Pelodiscus sinensis: one gene and its partner. The protein of the gene in region 2 interacts with the protein of the main gene of each other region in a pairwise test. Links are inferred from orthologs where the notes say so. Each region holds a gene or a part of one and is shown on either strand. Other genes may lie near its edges.

Evidence for each region.
Region 1: the proteins of PLIN1 (region 2) and ABHD5 interact in a protein complementation assay, tested with the Homo sapiens proteins (3 studies listed by BioGRID, with this or other methods). The link is inferred for Pelodiscus sinensis from reciprocal best matches to the Homo sapiens genes PLIN1 and ABHD5.

The regions. Positions count from the first base shown.
Region 1 is NC_134712.1:182,749,911-182,758,768, forward strand, and holds the start of ABHD5 (1-acylglycerol-3-phosphate O-acyltransferase ABHD5), read left to right. Parts: upstream 1-4,877; 5' UTR 4,878-4,887; coding exon 4,888-5,033; intron 5,034-8,858. UniProt on the Homo sapiens protein: Coenzyme A-dependent lysophosphatidic acid acyltransferase that catalyzes the transfer of an acyl group on a lysophosphatidic acid.
Region 2 is NC_134724.1:16,614,428-16,623,377, reverse strand, and holds the start of PLIN1 (perilipin-1), read left to right. Parts: upstream 1-5,199; 5' UTR 5,200-5,434; intron 5,435-6,420; 5' UTR 6,421-6,431; coding exon 6,432-6,485; intron 6,486-8,950. UniProt on the Homo sapiens protein: Modulator of adipocyte lipid metabolism. Coats lipid storage droplets to protect them from breakdown by hormone-sensitive lipase (HSL). Its absence may result in leanness. Plays a role in unilocular lipid droplet formation by activating CIDEC.

The DNA of each region.
Region 1 (8,858 bases), on a different chromosome or scaffold from region 2:
TAGGTTTAATATTAAAGACTATTGTTCTGCTTTCATGGATTTGTAATGCCTATTATAATCCTCTCCCTTTAATTGGATTAAATTAATGCTTGTGCAGCACTTTGAAAATGCAAAGACAATATAAATGCTAGTTAATCATTATTAAGGTCAAAGTTCAAAACTGTTCTAATTCACATGTAATAATTCTCAAGGTTTACTTTAAAAAAACAAAAACAGCCCAAAAATTTAATGCTAGGCTGCTAGGTAGGTGCTGTTGCCTCTCCTTGCCTCTAGTAAACATGCTGGAGAATGCTTTTTCTTGTGAAGGAATTACTACCTCGGTCTGGTGCTATTGCCTCCCCTGAAAATATTTTTCCGGATATAAGTCTCAAAGGGCTAGCCTTGTTAGTCTTTAAAGGGTACGTCTACACTGCAGGACAAAGTCGAGTCAAGATACACAATTAGGCTGTGTCTAGACTGGCCAGTTTTTCCGGAAAATCAGCCACTTTTCCGGAAAAACTTGCCAGCTGTCTACACTGGCCGCCTGAATTTCCGCAAAAGCACTGACTTCCTACTGTAAGAAATCAGTGCTTTTTGCGGAAATACTATGCTGCTCCTGTTCGGGCAAAAGTCCCTTTTGCGCAAAAGTTTTGCGCAAAAGGGCCAGTGTAGCCAGCTGAGATTTGTTTTCCGCAAAAAAAGCCCCAATCACGAAAATGACGATCGGGGCTTTTTTGCGGAAAAGCACGTCTAGATTGGCCATGGACACTTTTCTGCAAAAAATGCTTTTGCAGAAAAACGTCCGTGCCAATCTAGACGCTCTTTTCTGAAAATGCTTTTAATGGAAAACTTTTCAGTTAAAAGCATTTCCGGAAAATCATGCCAGTCTAGACGTAGCCTTAATGTAGCTGAAGTTGTGTAGCTGAAGTCAAAGTAGCTTAACTCTTCTTTAGGCACTGTCTATACAGCAGGAAATTGAAGGAAGAACACTCTTCCTTAGACTTCCCTTACTCTTCATGAAATGAGGGTTACAGAAGTTGGAGTAAGAAGCTCATTATTTTGAAATGAAATAATGGACTTGATGTGTAGACTCGCACTCTGTAATTTTGAAATAACATAAGTTATTTTGAAATAAGCATGCAATGTAGATATACCCTAACTGAAAAAAAAATAAAAAACAAATGGTCCTGCAGCACCTTAGAGACTAACAAAAGATGTAGATAGTATCATGATATTTCATGGGCACTAGCCACATATTCAGATGAATGGAGCAAGGGATCCAGAGATCTAATAGCTTTTCACTGATATTTCCTGTTCTGTAAACTTTTCCTTCTTTGTTATTTAATTAACATAAATAATAGCCAAGTGAACATATTATACACATATGTATGCATATTGATGGGGTATTTACACCATTAGTTTCTAGGGTTCACAACTTAATGATAATTCTAGATCCCCTTTTTAGTGCTGGCTGATCATATTTGAACAGTAACCCACTTGAGATTTTACCATCTGTGTCTAAATAGAAATGCTTAATCCTTCTTTTTAGACACAGACATTGTCACTGTTATCCAGGCCTTTGCTGTCTTAAAATTAGACTGCTGCTAGTGCTGCAACATGCCCTATATATTGCTACATTTAAAACCATTTGGAAACAGAAGCTGGTGCAGAAAGCACTAATTCTTTTAGGCTTACTCTATGCTACTATGGGTCGTTACACAACATCATCTTCATGAACATAGTGGAAGTTACAGCGATGTTCTCACTGTGGTAAATTTACAGCTGACACTCTCTCATCGACTCCACTTACTCTTCTTATTTTGATGGAGGACTGGAGGAGAGTGCTCAGAAAGCTAGACGTGATAAATCGACCCCCACGGGTTCTACCACTGCCCAACGATCTTAGGGGTAGTGAAGGTATGCCCTTACTGAGCTGGGCATCTGGATAAGCACTTAAGGGTGTGTATTTTGACTTATAAACCCCTAAATGGTTTGTGACCCACTCTCCTGAGAGATTCCCTCAGTCTTGCACATCTGTGGTGGATGTGTGTGTCATATTTACACACACACACACACACACATTAATGCATAACTATGGCCACAGCATTTTGTGCAACCAATCCTTTTAAATAGTTTTGCCTGAAAATCTTTGACATTTTTCCTGATTTAATGAGGCACTAAGCCTCATCGGTCTTCTTCTAATGATCCCAAATGGAAGCTGTATAGGGATGGATGGTGGTTCTTAACAAACCTAAACCAGAAGTTGCTATATCAGCCACAGGGTTGGTAAAAGGTTCAAGAAGATTCATTAGTACTATTTGAGTACTCCTCAATGAGCTCTCCTTTAGCTGTTGGTGTATTAAAGACTGTTAGTGTATCAAAAAATAGTCTACTTGTGTGGAACTAGTTTTTGCAAACACAGGAGTTCTCAATCAGGGGTACACATACCTTTACGGATATGCAGAGGTCTTCCAGAGAGTACATCAACTCATCTACTTATTTGCTTAGTTTTACAACAGGTTACAAAAAACGCACTATGGGTTGAACCTCTCTGGTACTGGACTCTCTGGATGTTGCTGGACCAGAGAGCCTCAGCTGTGGAATCCTGGCAGCTCTGGCCCCAAGGCTGTGAAGTCCAGCAGCTTTGACCACCAGGGCTGCAGAGCCCCAATGACCCTTGAGCAGCTGAGCCCCAGCAGCCCCAGACTGGTCGCAAAGCTGGGAGCCCAGGCAGGTAAGCATGGCAATCTGCTGATAGATACCAGAGAGTCCAGAGTTTGCCAGCAGAGAGGCCATCCTCGGTTCAACAAAATCCTTCCTTTGGGACTGGTCAGGTCCCGAGGGTGCCAGATCAGGGAGGTTCAACCTGCAGTAAAGTCTATACAAATGACATTTCATACAATGATTTGTTTATTCTGCTTCATATACCATACACTAAAATGTAAAAGTATAATATTTGTTTCAAATGATTTATTTTATGATATGGTAAAAATGAGAATTTTTTCAGTAGCAGTGTACTGTTTGAAAGTTCTGTATTTTAATGTCTGATTTGTAAGCATATAGTTTTTAAGTGAAGTGGAACTTGGAGTTAAGACAAATCAGGGTCCTGAAAGGGGTATAGTACAGGAAAACTCTATTAGTCCAGCATCCAATGCTCCGGGACTCCTGATGGTCCGGCACCATCAGGAACCCGGAAGTGCTGGGGCAGCCGGACAGGCTTCCCCCATTCAGCTGCTGCTGAAACTGACCATCAGCTGAATCGGGGAAGCCGGGAGCAGAGCAGCTGGGGTGCTACCGGGTTGGTCTGGTAGCACTGCCCCTCGGGGCTGCGGGACCAACCCGGCAGCACCCCAGCTGCTCTTGGGGATGCCTGGGGGCAGAGCAGCTGGAGTGCTGCCGGGTTGGTCCCGCAGTGCCAAAGGACGGCAATGCGGGACCAACCCGGCAGGACCCCAGCTGCACTGCCACGGGCTTCCTGGAATCAGCCGCTGATCTGTTTCAGCAGCGGCTGAATCAGGGACCCCTGGGGCAGTGCAGCTGAGGTCCTGCCGGGTTGGTCCCGCAGTGCCGAGGGGCAGCGCTACAAGACCAACCCAGCAGCACCCCAGCTGCTTTGCCCCAGGCATCAGGATTCAGCCACTGCTGAAACTGACCAGCAGCGTCAGTTTCACTAGCAGGCTGAATCCTGATGCCTGGGGCAGAGCAGCTGGGGTGCTGCCGGGTTGGTCTTGTAGCGCCGCCCCTCGGTGCTGCGGGACCAACCCGGCAGCACCCCAGCTGCTCTATTGCAGGTATCCCCGATTCAGCTGCTGCTGAAACTGACCAGCAGTGGCTGAATCAGGGACTTCTGGGGCAGAGCCTGACTATTGTAAGGGGGGGGGCTATGACGGGTCTGGGGTGGCATCCTCTCCCACCCCACTCCAGACCCCTCATAGCCCCCCCTTACGATAGTCCGGCATATCTGATAATCCGGCACCCCCTGGGTCCTAAAGGTGCCGGATTATCGGAAGTTTACTGTAGTTAAGTAATTTTGAGAGCCACTATGCCGGTCAGAAACCAGGATTCACTGAAATTCACTTGTGTTCTTTCCCTGAAGCACTGTTGCTGGCCACTGTGGAAAAACAGCATACTGGATTACACCAACTATTGGTATGACCCAGCGTTGGCTGTTCACTGTCCTAAAGGGAAAACAAAGTAGGCAACCTCAGGGCTGAATGTGGGCTGTTGGGGTTCTATGGGTGGCCTGCAAGACATTTTGTTTACCAGTTGCCAACGCGCAGAGTTGCCAGATTCTGCCGGTTTCTGTTTGCATCATTTTTTCCCTACTGGTATTACTAAAGTGACACACACGTGAAGCAAGGGCACGTAAAGTGAGGTGTGTGCCGATTGCACACATTGACTGTGACAGTTGTGTGCTCCCTCTGCATCAAATCAAAGCACTGCTATGGTTCAATCATGACACCCCACAAATTCCAGGTACACAAGTGCAGTGAGCTTTCCTGGGCGACTATCTTGCGCCCCACTGAGATGAAGGAGGGTCACTCACATGCAGCCCACACAGTAGCGCAGACTGCCCATGGCAGGTCTGGGGTGCATTTAAGTGTACTCTCCACATCACTAGCACCCAGGCCATTTGAGGCCTCGACCTCTGGCACAGCATTAATTACGTCTGTGAATAGGCCACACGCAAAAGGCGCCTTTCTTCTCTCCTCCTCTCACCCCCGCCTGAATGCGCCCAGCCCGGAGAGCTGCGCTAGGAGAGAGCGCTCCCAAAGGCCTCCGCACCCGGCGCGCGACCTCCACGCTCCACCGCGAGCTGCCCGTCACCCCGCCAGCCCAGGGGGCGGGTCCCTGGGACGCTCTAGCCTCGCGCGTTGGGGCGGGGCGGGACGGGTCGACGCGGCGGGGATGACGCGGTGGGCGGGTCCCGGTCCCGTGATGGCTGGCCCTGCTGCGCTCGCGCTCTCACTCGCGGCCGCCTCCCCGGCACCAGCTCTCGGCCGCCGCGCCGCCGCCATGGCCGAGGACGGGCACCTGGAGGCGTCGAGCGAAGGGTGAGCCGGGACGGGACGGGGCGGGGTGACGGCGCCACAGGCGGGGGCAGCGGGCCAAGGGGACGAAGGGACTCCCCCCCCCCCCCCGCCCGTGTACACCCCTCCGCCCCATCGCAGACCCTCGCATCCCAGCCGCTGTGGGCTCCTCTGTGTCCCTGCCTCCCTGTGCTTACTGCAAGCCCACCGCTGTGATAGTTGTTGCTGCGGTTACAGCCGCCTGCGGGCGCCTCACATCTCCCCCCTGCTCCAGCCCGTGTTAGCTGCTGCTACTAAAAAAAAACAACCTCTTTTGTCTCTGGTGCGCCTGTCGCTGCATCTCGCCGCTGCCTTCCTCTTCCCTTCCGCACAAACTTAGAACAGCTCCCCTTCAAACACATTGGCCCGACCCATCTTCCTGCTACTATCCCTTTCCTTCCCCAGCAGGCTTTCAGAAGGAATCGTTGTCTTCAGCTTTCTGCGATGATGTGCCTTATGCTTTTGAAACTGTCTGTTCCTCCATTGTAGTATGTGGGCCAAACAAACCCCCCTCTCTATTACAGAGACAAGGTGGGTCTGGTGAAGTAATAACTTTTATTGGATGAACGTCTGTTGGAGAGAGAGACAAACTTTTAAGTGAATAAAGATATTACCTCACCCACATTGTGTCTCCCATATCCTGGAATCAACACAGCTGTAACACCCTTAACAAAATACAGGACTATGTAGCACTTTAAAGACTAACAAGATGGTTTATTAGATGATGAGCTTTCGTGGGCCAGACCCACTTCCTCAGATCAAATAATGAAAGAAAATTGTCACAACCATATATACCATATATATGGCTGTGACTATTTTCTTCCACTATTTGATCTGAGGAAGTGGGTCTGGCCCATGAAAGCTCATCATCTAATAAACCATCTTGTTAGTCTTTAAAGTGCTACATAGTCCTGTATTTTGTTTTAGCTACACCAGACTAACATGGCTACATTTGTAACACCCTTAAGCATTCTTCTTAAAATACACACTCTGAAGATCCCAGTTGATAATTTACCAAATAAGTTTTAAAATAGCTATGCTTTATCTTCTGATTCAGTGCATTGGTTCTGAACTGCATTAGTTGTTTAACTTGATCTTTAAGGGTGTTAAGGTGGGTAGTGGTGAGTGCTCTGTTTCTGTCATCAGCACCATGCAGGATTGTGTTCTTAGAATATAAGATCTTTAGGGTACAAACAATGGTCTACATTTTCATAATAAGGGATTATTGATGCCCAACATGGCATTTTTTAAAAGGGGCATGATTTTCAGAAAATGCTCAGCTCCACTGTCTGAAAATCAAGCCCTTTTTAAGGTCTTTAAAATCAGAAGCCAAAATCACTAGTCACTTTTGAAAATGAAAGCTTATGCCTCCTCTTCATACATCAGAAAGTACATTGATAGTGATGAATTGGCTGAGCTTTGAACAGTTAGCTGCAGTAATATAAATACTCTGTCTTAATAGTAGCCAGTCCTAAAGCTTAGTCATCTTTTGAAGGTGAACAAGCTTGGTTAACTGCCAAAAAAAAAAAATTAAACTGTGTGAACTAATAAAACACTAATTTTCAATTTTAAAATTATTTGTCTTGGTGGATTCTATTAAAATCATAGATTAGGTACAGTTCAATATGACAGGCGAGATCAAGTGCATATAAAGGAAAAAACTGAAGTTTAATCTCTTTTAAACCAAATATATTGAGTAGTAACTCAGCTATTACACCACAAGTTCAACTAATTGACATCTGGTAACATGAGCATTCTATGGGAGAGTAGTGATGATAGCACAGTAAAATTGCTACAAAATACATTAATCAAAACATGCAAAGCCATACAGCTGTAATAGATAATCTGATCTGAAGATAGTCTTCAATATAAAATAAAATAGAAATACAGTAAAACTCCATTGTTCCGGCATCCAATGCTCCGGAATTCCTGATAGTCCAGCACCATCGGGAACCCGGAAGTGCTCCGGGCAGCTGGACAATTGGAGCTGCTCTGCGCCCAGCTTCTCCGATTCAGCCACTGCTGAAACTGACCAGCAGCTGAATCAGGGAAGCCGGGGGCAGAGCAGCTGGGGTGCCGCTGGGTTGGTCCCGTAGCGCAGCCCCTCGGGGCTGCGGGACTAACCTGGCAGCACCCCAGCTGCTCTTGGGGACACCTGGGGCAGAGCAGCTGGAGTGCTGCCAAGGGGCGGTGCTACGGGACCAACCCAGCAGCACCCCAGCTGCTCTGTCCCAGGCATCCCCAAGAGCAGCTGGGGTGCTGCCGGGTTGATCTCACAGCACCGAAGGGTGGTGCTACTGGACCAAGCCGGCAGTACTCCAGCTGCTCTGCCGCAGGCATCCCTGAGTCAGCCACTGCTGAAACTGACCAGCAGCGGCTGAATCGCGGATGCCTGGGGCAGAGCCGGACTATTGGAAGGGGGGGCTATGAGGGGTCTGGGGTGGCATCCCCTCCACCCCACCCCAGACCCCTCATAGCCCCCTCTTCCGATAGTCCGGCATATCTGATAATCCGGCACCCCCTGGGTCCTAAAGGTGCCGGATTATCAGAAGTTTACTGTAGCTTGTATGACAGCATTCTATATAAAATGACTGGTTACTGCTAAGTTTGCATTAAATGTAGGGAGAAGTTTTAAGGGTAGAAAATGTTTTGTCTTCATCTAAGGTAAGTTGGAATAACTCTCTCTAAAAATATCTTTGGGTTTTTTGGTGAATTTAGATGGAACGGCTAGCAACAACTAGTTAAAACTTAAGAGTGCCTTGGAATAATATATAGAAATATGTTGTAGGAATCAGTACAATTCCAATATTCATAACTATTTATTGTCTTTTTGAGACATTTCTGAATTTGGGATATAACTCTTGGGGCATGTTGTTGGATATCTTAGACTTTTTACAATCTCAGTATGAATGTATGTAGTTTTAAAATCTTCAGTAATGAATTCAGTAGGCTTAAATTCATAAGGTGCTTCTAGTAAGACACTTGGGGTACTATACTGCATAAGATTCAGAGTGATTGACATGATGTTTAAAGTAGGGATGTCAGTGTGTAGACAACTACATGATTAACTGGTAAGCCCGGGCATATCGGTTAATTTTGTCGACTACACACATTCCTCCTCCTTTCTCCCCCCTATTTCCCTGCTGTCTCTGTATCAGAGGCAGCAAGGGGTGGGGCAGGAGCCCGTGCTCCTGGAGAGTCAGCTTTTAAACCGGATACCAACAAGCACCAGATCCGCCTGTTCCCTCCCTGCTGTGCTGCTGCCTCCAGGGACCCTCCTTTCCCTTCCCCCACCTGTACCTATGGATACACAGGAGGCAGCGTGTGTGGCAGGGGGCTTCGAGAGGGGTCAGGAGAATACTGACTGCCAACCCTGCCCCAGGGGTCTATTGAATAGTTGTGTAATGGCAAAAATTTGATGTGGTTAAATGATTATTTAATTAGACACCATCTAACACCCCAATTTAAAGGGACACTGCAGATTTGTCTGACTGTCACACCTTAAATTTTAAAATAAAGCATAAGTAGGAGGATAAAGAATCATGCTCCAAAAGATCTGCACATAGTCCCTTTGCTCAGTTTTTCTTTAGCTTAGAAATGAAGATTCAAGACACATTAATTCAAAACAGTGTGACTGCTCTGCAGGGCCTTGTCTTAGCCCTTGTCTCCATTATCACTTATCAGGTGAGCCTTCTCCACTCCCTTCCCACTCAACTCTTGCTCCTTTAAAATGTCTACCTCTTAAGCTATCTACCTGATAGTAAAGGGCTCTCTGCGTGTATGCTCTTCCATGATCCAGGGACTCTTCTA
Region 2 (8,950 bases):
TGGACTGAGTTTGCTGATGCCAAAATCCTTTGATAGACACGTGCTAAAAGATAATCTTTTTGTCTGACTCTCTCTAGAGTTCCCCCTGTCATGGCCACTTGCTTGGATAAGGACAAGTGGTTTTCTCATGTCACCTTTCTGTGTGGGTTCTACCACTCTGAAGACCCTTTTGTTCTCCAAGCTACCTAGGTTGGAATGTTGCCTTTAATTATTGAGGAAATGCTCTGCCTAATTGTCTGTGTAAGATGTGCATTGTCTGACATCCTTTTGGGTGAAGGAGACTGACATTACAGAAATCCCACTTTCACAAGCATCTGTGGCTCAGCATCTGTAGAATTTACTTGTGAGACGAGAGCCAAAAGGACCCCTTCTCTCAGTCTGAGCCTGGCCTCTGATTTCTGCTCTCCACCAATACAGAGACTTCCCACCCCCAGTCTTTGAGCAAATATGGAAGCTGATTAATATTACCAGAACTCAGTTGTAGGCAGAAATTAAAGAGCATCATTGCCCATTCTGCTTTTCTGAAAAGCAAAGGACCTGGAGTTCTGCAACCAGGTTAATAAAATGCCCCTGTTAATCTCATGTCTTTTCTCTACAAGGGGCCATGTTTGATGTGCCCACTGTTAATATTCCAATGAAGTGTTTTTAAACAGGAGGATGCTGTCCATTAAGTGGCAAAAGCTTGCCCTGGAGACTGAATGTCTGCAAAGTGCTACACTGCTGCCTTTTTTAATGTGGAAGTGCAGCTCATCAAAATTACAGGTCCCAGTGTACTGTGTGTCCTGGCTGCTTAGCCCAAGATGGAGTGTTGCATGCTGGAATCTGTCGTCGCCATGGCCCTCCTCTCCTTTCTGATGAAGTTAGCTGTGCTTAGCTCCATCTGTTAACTAGTAGGCTCCTGGCCATACTCCCCATCAGAGGTGATGGGCAGCAGCTTGCCATCACCCGGTTTTATAATTAAATGAGCTAAAGTAGATAAGAGGAGCTATGTTGATCTACTTTGGGGGAGAGGAAATTAATTTCTCTTTGTTTACAGATTTTTTTTATTTTGTTTACTTGTAGGAAGCTAAATTATGATCTGACATCTTTGTTGGGAAGGGGTCACACATAAAATAGACTTCCACTTGATTTTGTAGCTATTTTCTTAGCATCAATGGGTTAATTGTAGCTTGCAGGTATAAAGGGTAACTTACTAAAATATTGGGGTGATTCCCAGCTAGAAGGGCCCACTGAGTGGTAGGGATGTTAAGTATCAGTTAATTAACTAATCAATAGACTTTCCATCAACTGCTTGATTAGTTGATAGGGGGGGTGCTTCTGCAGCGGCTCTGCACTTCAAATGTAGTAAGAGCCCACTGTGTATTCACCCCAGAAGCGTCCCAGAGATGTAGAGTGAACTGCTGCATATGTTTAATGCATGACCATTTAGAATTGGGCAATTTTGTTCATTCTTATTGAAATGGGGGATAGGGCACAGTATAATGATCAAAACTGGGCCCTAGGGGGGCCTCAGAACTAATACAAAGAGCCACAAGCCAGTTGAAAATGGCCCTTCCAGCAGCATGGTGCCCTTCAACAACATGCAAGGCACTTGCTTTAGCTCTGATTTGAAAAGAGTTTATTCCGCTACTGCATCACCAGCAGTCAAATGCTTCTTGAGTAATTTTACACTATCTATGATCACCACCACCCGCCCCGCTAGATTTCCTGCCCTGGGCTCCGCGCCGGCTTTTTCTGTGGGGAAGATAGGAGCAGCATGCGCGCTTCCCCAGAAGTCGGATGTGGCGCGGAGTCTTGGGGCTTCTCCTCTTCCCCTGCAGGAAGCCAACAATGGCTCATCTTATGGGAGGAGGGGAGGGGATGATGCTGGATCACCAGCACGGGCTGGGGTCAGAGTGGCTTGAGGGAGGGTTCAGGGAAATGGGCAGGGGGGTAACCTGGGGTGTCCAGCCCTGCTGTGGGCAGAGTCCCATGGGAATCCGGTCCATGGTGTCCTCGCCTTCGTGCCAGGGACCTAGCCACCCCAGGGCCAACATAGCTTTGGGGTAGGACCCCCCCCCCTCATTTTCCTCTCTCCTCAGTCACCCCGCTGTTGCCCAGCCGCAGAGCCACAGCCCTGGCAGCACTCCCCCTCTAGCACAGTGGTTCTCAAACATTTTGGTCCATGGACCACCTGGCTCAATGCAAACCTTTCTGCAGATCACCAGTTGCTAATGGAAACTCACTGTTAATTACATAATTATGCCCAAGCCATTTTGCTAGTGCTGCAGCTAAGGGGAATGGTTTAATTTAAATTATTAAACAGATGAAGCATTTTAATTTTCTCTTGTTAGTTTATCAAACTTCATTTTAAATAAAGTAAAATATCAATTTATGTCCGACACAAAAGGTTTCAATATTTTCTTTATTTATGGCAAGGGTGGGGAACTTCTTTTGGGTTGGAGGCCACTGACCCACAGAAAAATCAGTTGGGGGCCACACAAGTGAGAAGCAAAAAAACTACTCCAAAAACCCTCAACCCTCTGAGCCTGACCCCGACACACCCCAATTCCCCCATTACCTCCCCACCCTGGCCCCCACTTCCCTCTCACAGCGCAGGTGAGTCCTGAGTCTGTGCAGTGTCCCCGTGCCACCTGTTGGAAGCAGGCGGAGAGCCGGGGTGGCTCTCAAGGGCACCAGGGGTGGATTCCCCCACCCCATTGCTTCCTTCTCGCTCAGGCCCCCTCCCCCACTGCCTCATAACCTCCTTGGTGGTGGCTGCTTGGGGACAGTACTGGCCAGATCCCGGGGCTGGGCAGCCTTTTCTTCCCGCTCTTCCCCCCCCCCCCCCCCCCCCGCAGGTCCCCACATAGCAGCGGGGCTGGAGTGGGCGGAGCAGCAGCAGTGCATGTGCGGTACCTCAATCCTGCAGCTCTGCGCGGGGTTCCTGTGCCACCCGGTGGAAGTGAACGGGAAGCTGGGGTGGCTCGCGGGGGCAGTGGGAGCGGACTCTCCCACCCCATTGCTTCCTTCTCCTCCAGCTCCCTTGCATGCTGGTGAGGCCGGGGCAGGCGAAGCAGCAGCAGGGTGCATGCAGGAGTGGGGCCTCAATCCTGCAGGGACGGTGAGGGGCTGTCCTGGCTCTGTGCAGCATCTCTGTATTGCCTGGTGGAGCGGAATGGGGAGCCGGGGCTGCTCTCAGGGACACTGGGGGTGGACACGAGTGGGAAGCCAGGTCCAGTCGGGGTTTTCTTCACCTCCCCCACTCCCCTGTGCCCAGAAGCTGGAGCTGGTGCTTTAAGTCTTGAGGTTGTGCAGGCTTCAGAAGTGCATGGACTGCATGTGCCACTCAAAATTGGCTCGTGTGCCGCTTATGGCACCCGTGCTGTACGTTGCCAACCCCTGCTTCAGGACTGGTTGGATACCACAGAGATAGATGAATGGGGGTCTTTTGATGAGGCTTTTGTGCTCTAGAGCAGTGTTTCTCAACCAGTGGTACGAGTATCCTTAGGAGTACTTGGGAGAAATCGGGGGGGGGGGGGGCGAGGAGGGGGAACGTCAACACAACTGAAATTTGGAGAAAACTGAATTTTTATTTGACGTTTTACAGTGTTTTATTATTTTTGTACTTTTTACACCCAAAAATGTCGTCCCCCGCCTGGCAACGATTAGTTTGTTTAAACAAATGTGTTGCAATGGTAGAAAAAAAATTGTGTGTCTGCAAACTGTAGGTACTGGGGGTACTTATAAGTTGTTGTTTTTTAAAGGGGATACTTTATAAAAAAAAGGTTGAGAAACACTGCTCTAAAGGGGCTGAGAAGGACAGAGAGCCAGGACAGTGCTGGGGGGGAGGGACACTTTGCCTAGCAGTAGGGTGGTGACTTTAGCAGGGCAGAGGTTGTGTTGGGTCTGGTCTTAGCTGGAATTAAATCAGGAGGGAGGCTCAGCCACATGCTTCCCTCTCCTGACTGATCATTTGTGCTTTTACTTAAGGATAGCAAAATCCAAGAGAGAACCCACTGCCAAATACATGAGCTACAGCTCTGGAGCGGCTGCTGCCCTTTGCCCTGCTGTCTGGAGAGCAGCGACTCATCACAGGGATGGAACACTTACCCAGTGTTATGCTGCCTTTCCCTTTTCACCTTCATTGGGTGGGGAGCTCAGCCAGGAAGGCACACAATGCCAGACTCCTGCAGCTTGAGATGTATGAGGTGGGGGAGGGGACGTTACTCCTGTGTATGCTACCTTCTTTATTTTGGGGAAGTTGTCTTCCCCATGACTCAGCCTCTCAGTCCCTCTTCCACCTGCCTGGGACTCTTTACTAGGATCCTGCTTTCCACACACCCCAAACCAGGGTAGGTGGGTGGGTGGGTCAGTGGTGGTGGTGGGGAGGGGGAGATTTACACCTCCCTCATTATCTTGTTTGAGGGAATCTGTGAAGCTCTGGGCATTCAAGGACCTGCACTGTCATTCCCCACCTGTGCCCTGTCTGCAGAGCTGGGGGAGCTAGAAGCATGAAGCAGCCAGTCAGCTCGCAGCGCAGGGGGCTTTCAGCTCTGGTGGCAAGGGGCTTCCTCTGCCAATCTGCTGCTGGCTGTTTCAAAACACTCCAGTATCATGTCTGCAAACAACCAGTCTCTTTTTGCCAGCCATTGCTGACTCCTGGATTCCTCTTTCCCACTGCATACCTCTGGGCTTCTCATGTGACTATGACCCTTTGCTTTATTTCTCTGTCTTCTAAGCATTCACCACGCCTTCCAACTCAGTCTCTGAGAATTGTACTGATGTGCCACGTCCAAGTGAAGAAGTGAAATAAATCCAATCCTAATTACACTTGCTGTGCTCCCCACTGAATCCCTCTCCCAATTCAATAAATCCCCCTTTTTCTTTATCCCTTGTAGGTTTTCAATCCACACAGCAGTGTCTTTTTCCAATGCACTAAATCCTCAAGTAAGTGTGAGCTGCACTCTCAGTCCCAAATATGTGCATCATGTTGCGCTCCAACCATCCACTAAAAGTCACTCTGCCAGCAAGAGCCACCAGGGCTGGCAAACCTGACTATCCCCAGACTGCCTTTTGCTCATGGTTCCATTGCTCTCTAGGTGTTAATGTTGAGGGATTTTTCTTTCCCTGTTTGTTGTGTTGCTTTGGTATGGTCGGGTTAGATGCAGGTCTTGTGTCTCAGTTCCTTGGACCCACAATGGCGGGAGGGGGGGGGGTATTTTCCAGACTGGTTATGCAAACATCTTTTGAATTTGATATGGCCCTAGAGAGCCATTTATCATGTTACCACAGCAACATGCAGACACCTTGACCCATGCAGCTGGGAGGTGGGGTTTTGTGGTGATTCTGTGGTAAGACACATCTATGTTTGAGAATCTGCTCCCTGGAACAGCACAACCAGACACACTCGGCTCCTGACATCCTGCTGATGACAGCGTCTGACTGCTGCTCCGTGAGTAACCAACGGCAGGTGTATGCCTAGCGTACAGCCTCCCTAATGCTGGGGAAGGGCAGGGAGCAGCTGGCAAAGTAGTTCTGCTTAATGGTTCTGCATTTAATCTATTGCTGGGAAAGAAGGAATCTGTGCTGGAAATGGCAGTAGGGGATGTCAGAATAGTGGCATTCGGGTTTTGGAGATTGAAAAAGGATCCCTGCCATGGCTTTGGGGATGCATTAGCCACAGTAGCTAGAGCATGCATTGTACTGTTCAAATGCATTAGATTGAATCTGTATCTGAACAAGCACTGGTCTATTCTCCTAAAAGCCTTCTGAGTGCTCCAGAGCTGGCACTGCATGGGTGGGGAGTTTGCTCATTCCTTATTAAGCTCTACCAATGCTCCTATATCCTGCACCACGGCACCAGCTAATCCAGCCCTGACCATTATCCTCAGCTTTGCTAGGACACCTCCATTCTGACCTGCTTCACCCCTTGCTACTCTTATCCTTGGCTCTTTGTTTAGTTTTGGAAATGCCCCTCAGTCCTGGCCTGCAGTCCCCATCCTAGACTTCCACCTTGCACAGTTGTGCTGCTGGACCTCAATCATGACTCAACACCCCCTGCAATTCATATTCTGACTCTCAGGACTGTTACTCCAATTTGCCAATTTGAGAGGTGGTTGATGCCTCCCAACCTCTTCGTTCAGTGCTTTCTTTCGTTGAGGAGACTCATTTGGGACTCTTCCAGGAGTCACCAATTCTGCTGCTTACTTGCATAGATCTAGGTGCTATTAAGCAATACCGGGTCTCATCCACCCAAGGCATGTACTGCCTCAACATAGCTCTCTGCCCCTGCTGGTCTAGACTGCAAGAGATCAGGATGTACCTACAGCTTGAGACTCCACCAGAGTCATCAGTTCGACTAGAGACCAGACCTGAGACCATTCCCAGCATTGTTTTCCCAGAAAGCTCCTTGATTAGACTCTGGACTTTGCTTTGCAGGCTGATATGTCATGATGGCAGCAAACAGAAGCCAGAAAATGCAGAACCAGAACGGAAACACGAAGGTGAGTGTGGGCAAGAGATGGAGAGGCAAAGAAGGCTGCTGTGTACGAGCAACATCAGATGGACCCCTGGCTTGAGAAGTAGGAGGTTGCTAATGCTACCAGGGGAGTATTTGATTCAAATATTATACTGTACTGTCTTCTGTTGCAAAAGTCCGTATCATCTTTGTAACAGATCAGCAACTATAGCAATATACAGTTACTGTTGGAAAAAATAATTATAACATTTAGCAAGATCTGTGTTTTTAAATGCTTTCTCTTAAAATCAAGTTCTTAGACAAAATCTTTGATTCAATCAGAGTTGGAAATATCAGTTAAATTAAGCAGCATTCAAACTGTAGTTATTAAAACCCCCAGTGTATTCATGCCCCCTGCCAAAAAAACTAAAGCAGCTCAAAAAATTAAAGCCTAAAAACTCAGTAGTTCAGATTCCAGAAGCAACCTTAATTCTGACTCTGTCTGTCCGTCAACAATGTTCAGTGACGGTCTTTACCCACTTTCACAGTATGGACCACAAATATGCTACCATGCTGAGAACCCAGTACAAATGTAAAGAACCACAGCCATTGGGATGGCCTTGGTGTAGGAGTTACATAATTGCTAGCCCTGGAAATGCCATCAACTCCCATATTTACTGCACAAGCAGACCTATAACCTACTCTGAACACATATGGCACTGATCTGAATACAAGCTGTTCCCTCTCCCCTCCCAGACACACACACAGCCTCGCAGCTATCATTCACCAGGCATTGATTAGTCCAGTCTACTCCATTCCTCCTGCCACACTCGGGTGACTTGGAGAACCTCTCCTCTTTGTAATGCCCTGATCAGACTCATGTAGTGTAGTGCTGCACTGGCAATGAATGTCTGACATAAAGTGGCAGAGCCTAGGGGTTTTCACTTAACTAGGTATGTCTTGATTTTTACTAGGAATGTGAATGACTAGTTGACTATCCAATAAGCAAATGCTTATCGAATAAACTAGTCGCTTCTATCAGAAAGAGGCAGCAAGGTGGGGGGGGGGAGAAGAGGGTGCTTCAAAGCGGCAGCGCTGTGTGGAGCCCGGGAACAGACCCTGGGCGTCATGCGGCGCTGCCACTTTGAAACACCACATGCAGCCCAGGACCAGCTGGGTACTGGACTTCCAGCTGGCCCCAGGCTGCACGTGTCATTTCAAAGCAGCAGCACCGTGCAGAGCTTGGGTTCAGCTGGGGACTCTCCCACTGACCCCAGGCTCCCACGGTGCTGCTGCTTTGAAATGCCGCAGGGAGCACGGGGCTAGTGGGGGACTGCTTGAGTTCCCCACTGGCCCCATGCTCCTCACAGTGCTTTCACCTTTGAAGTGTAGCAACAATCTGTTGCTACACTTCAAAGGCAAAGTTGCACTTATCGGCTAAGCAGCTTCCGGTCAGCGATGCAGCAGGGTTGCTAAGGCAGTTTCCTGCCTCTCCTGGCACCACAGACCATGATGTGCCTGAGAAGCAGCCAGCGGCCTGTTCCCAGCCAATGGGAGTGCGAAGCTAGTGCTCAGGGTAGGGGCAGTGCACGGAGCCTTGTGCACTCTCCTCCCCCCTTCCGTCCTCTCGCCCCACACCCCAGCCACACACACACCTAGTAGAAAGGCCTGTTGCTGTCCACTCCTGGGACTAGGGTTGCCAGGTGTCTGGTTTTGAACCAGAAAGTCCAGCATTTGAGGCTTCTGTCCAGGAAATAAATTGAGAAAATACCGGACATATAAACTAATTAGATTAGTTTGATTATTACGAGTATCAGTACGTAGCTGCGTACTGCCTGGCTGGTAGACATGCTCACACTGCATGAGTCACACTGTGTGAGTGTGTCTACCAGCCAGGCAATACGCAACTACGCAGTAGGGAGGAGCGAGCGCGGGTGGGACGGGATGGAATCCCTGGGGCCGGACTCACTCGTGCTCCTCCGGGACCATGCGCAGGACAAGCAGCTCCCCGGAATCTGCGTGTGACCGGGCCCAGGCCAGCCCTGCTCCCCACCAGCCAGCCCTGTTCCCCCCAACCCTCTCCCGGCCAGCCCTACTTCCTGCCAGCCGGTTCTGTCCCAGCCAGCCCCACTCCCTGCCGGCCAATTCTTTCCCCCTGCTCTCCTCCCCCTCCGTCTCTCTTCCCCCCCCCCCAGCCTGCCCCACTCCCCCTCACTGCCTCCGAGCCAGCCCCACTGCCCACCGGCCAGTTCTCCCCAGGCCAGCCCCACTCCCCCCACCCCCGTCCTGGCCAGCCCTGCTTCCTGCTGGCCGTTCACCCCCTCCCCCGATCTCCTTTGGCCAGCCCTGCTCCCCCCGCTCCCCTCCCGGCCAGTTCCCCCCCCCCACCCCCCATTTGAGATCAAGTGTGTCCGGTATTTTTTTGTTAAGCCATCTGGTAACCCTACCTGGGGCACGGCGCAGTCTGTAGTGCCAGGAAAGCACCTCTGTTGGTCACTTGATCATCCTGCA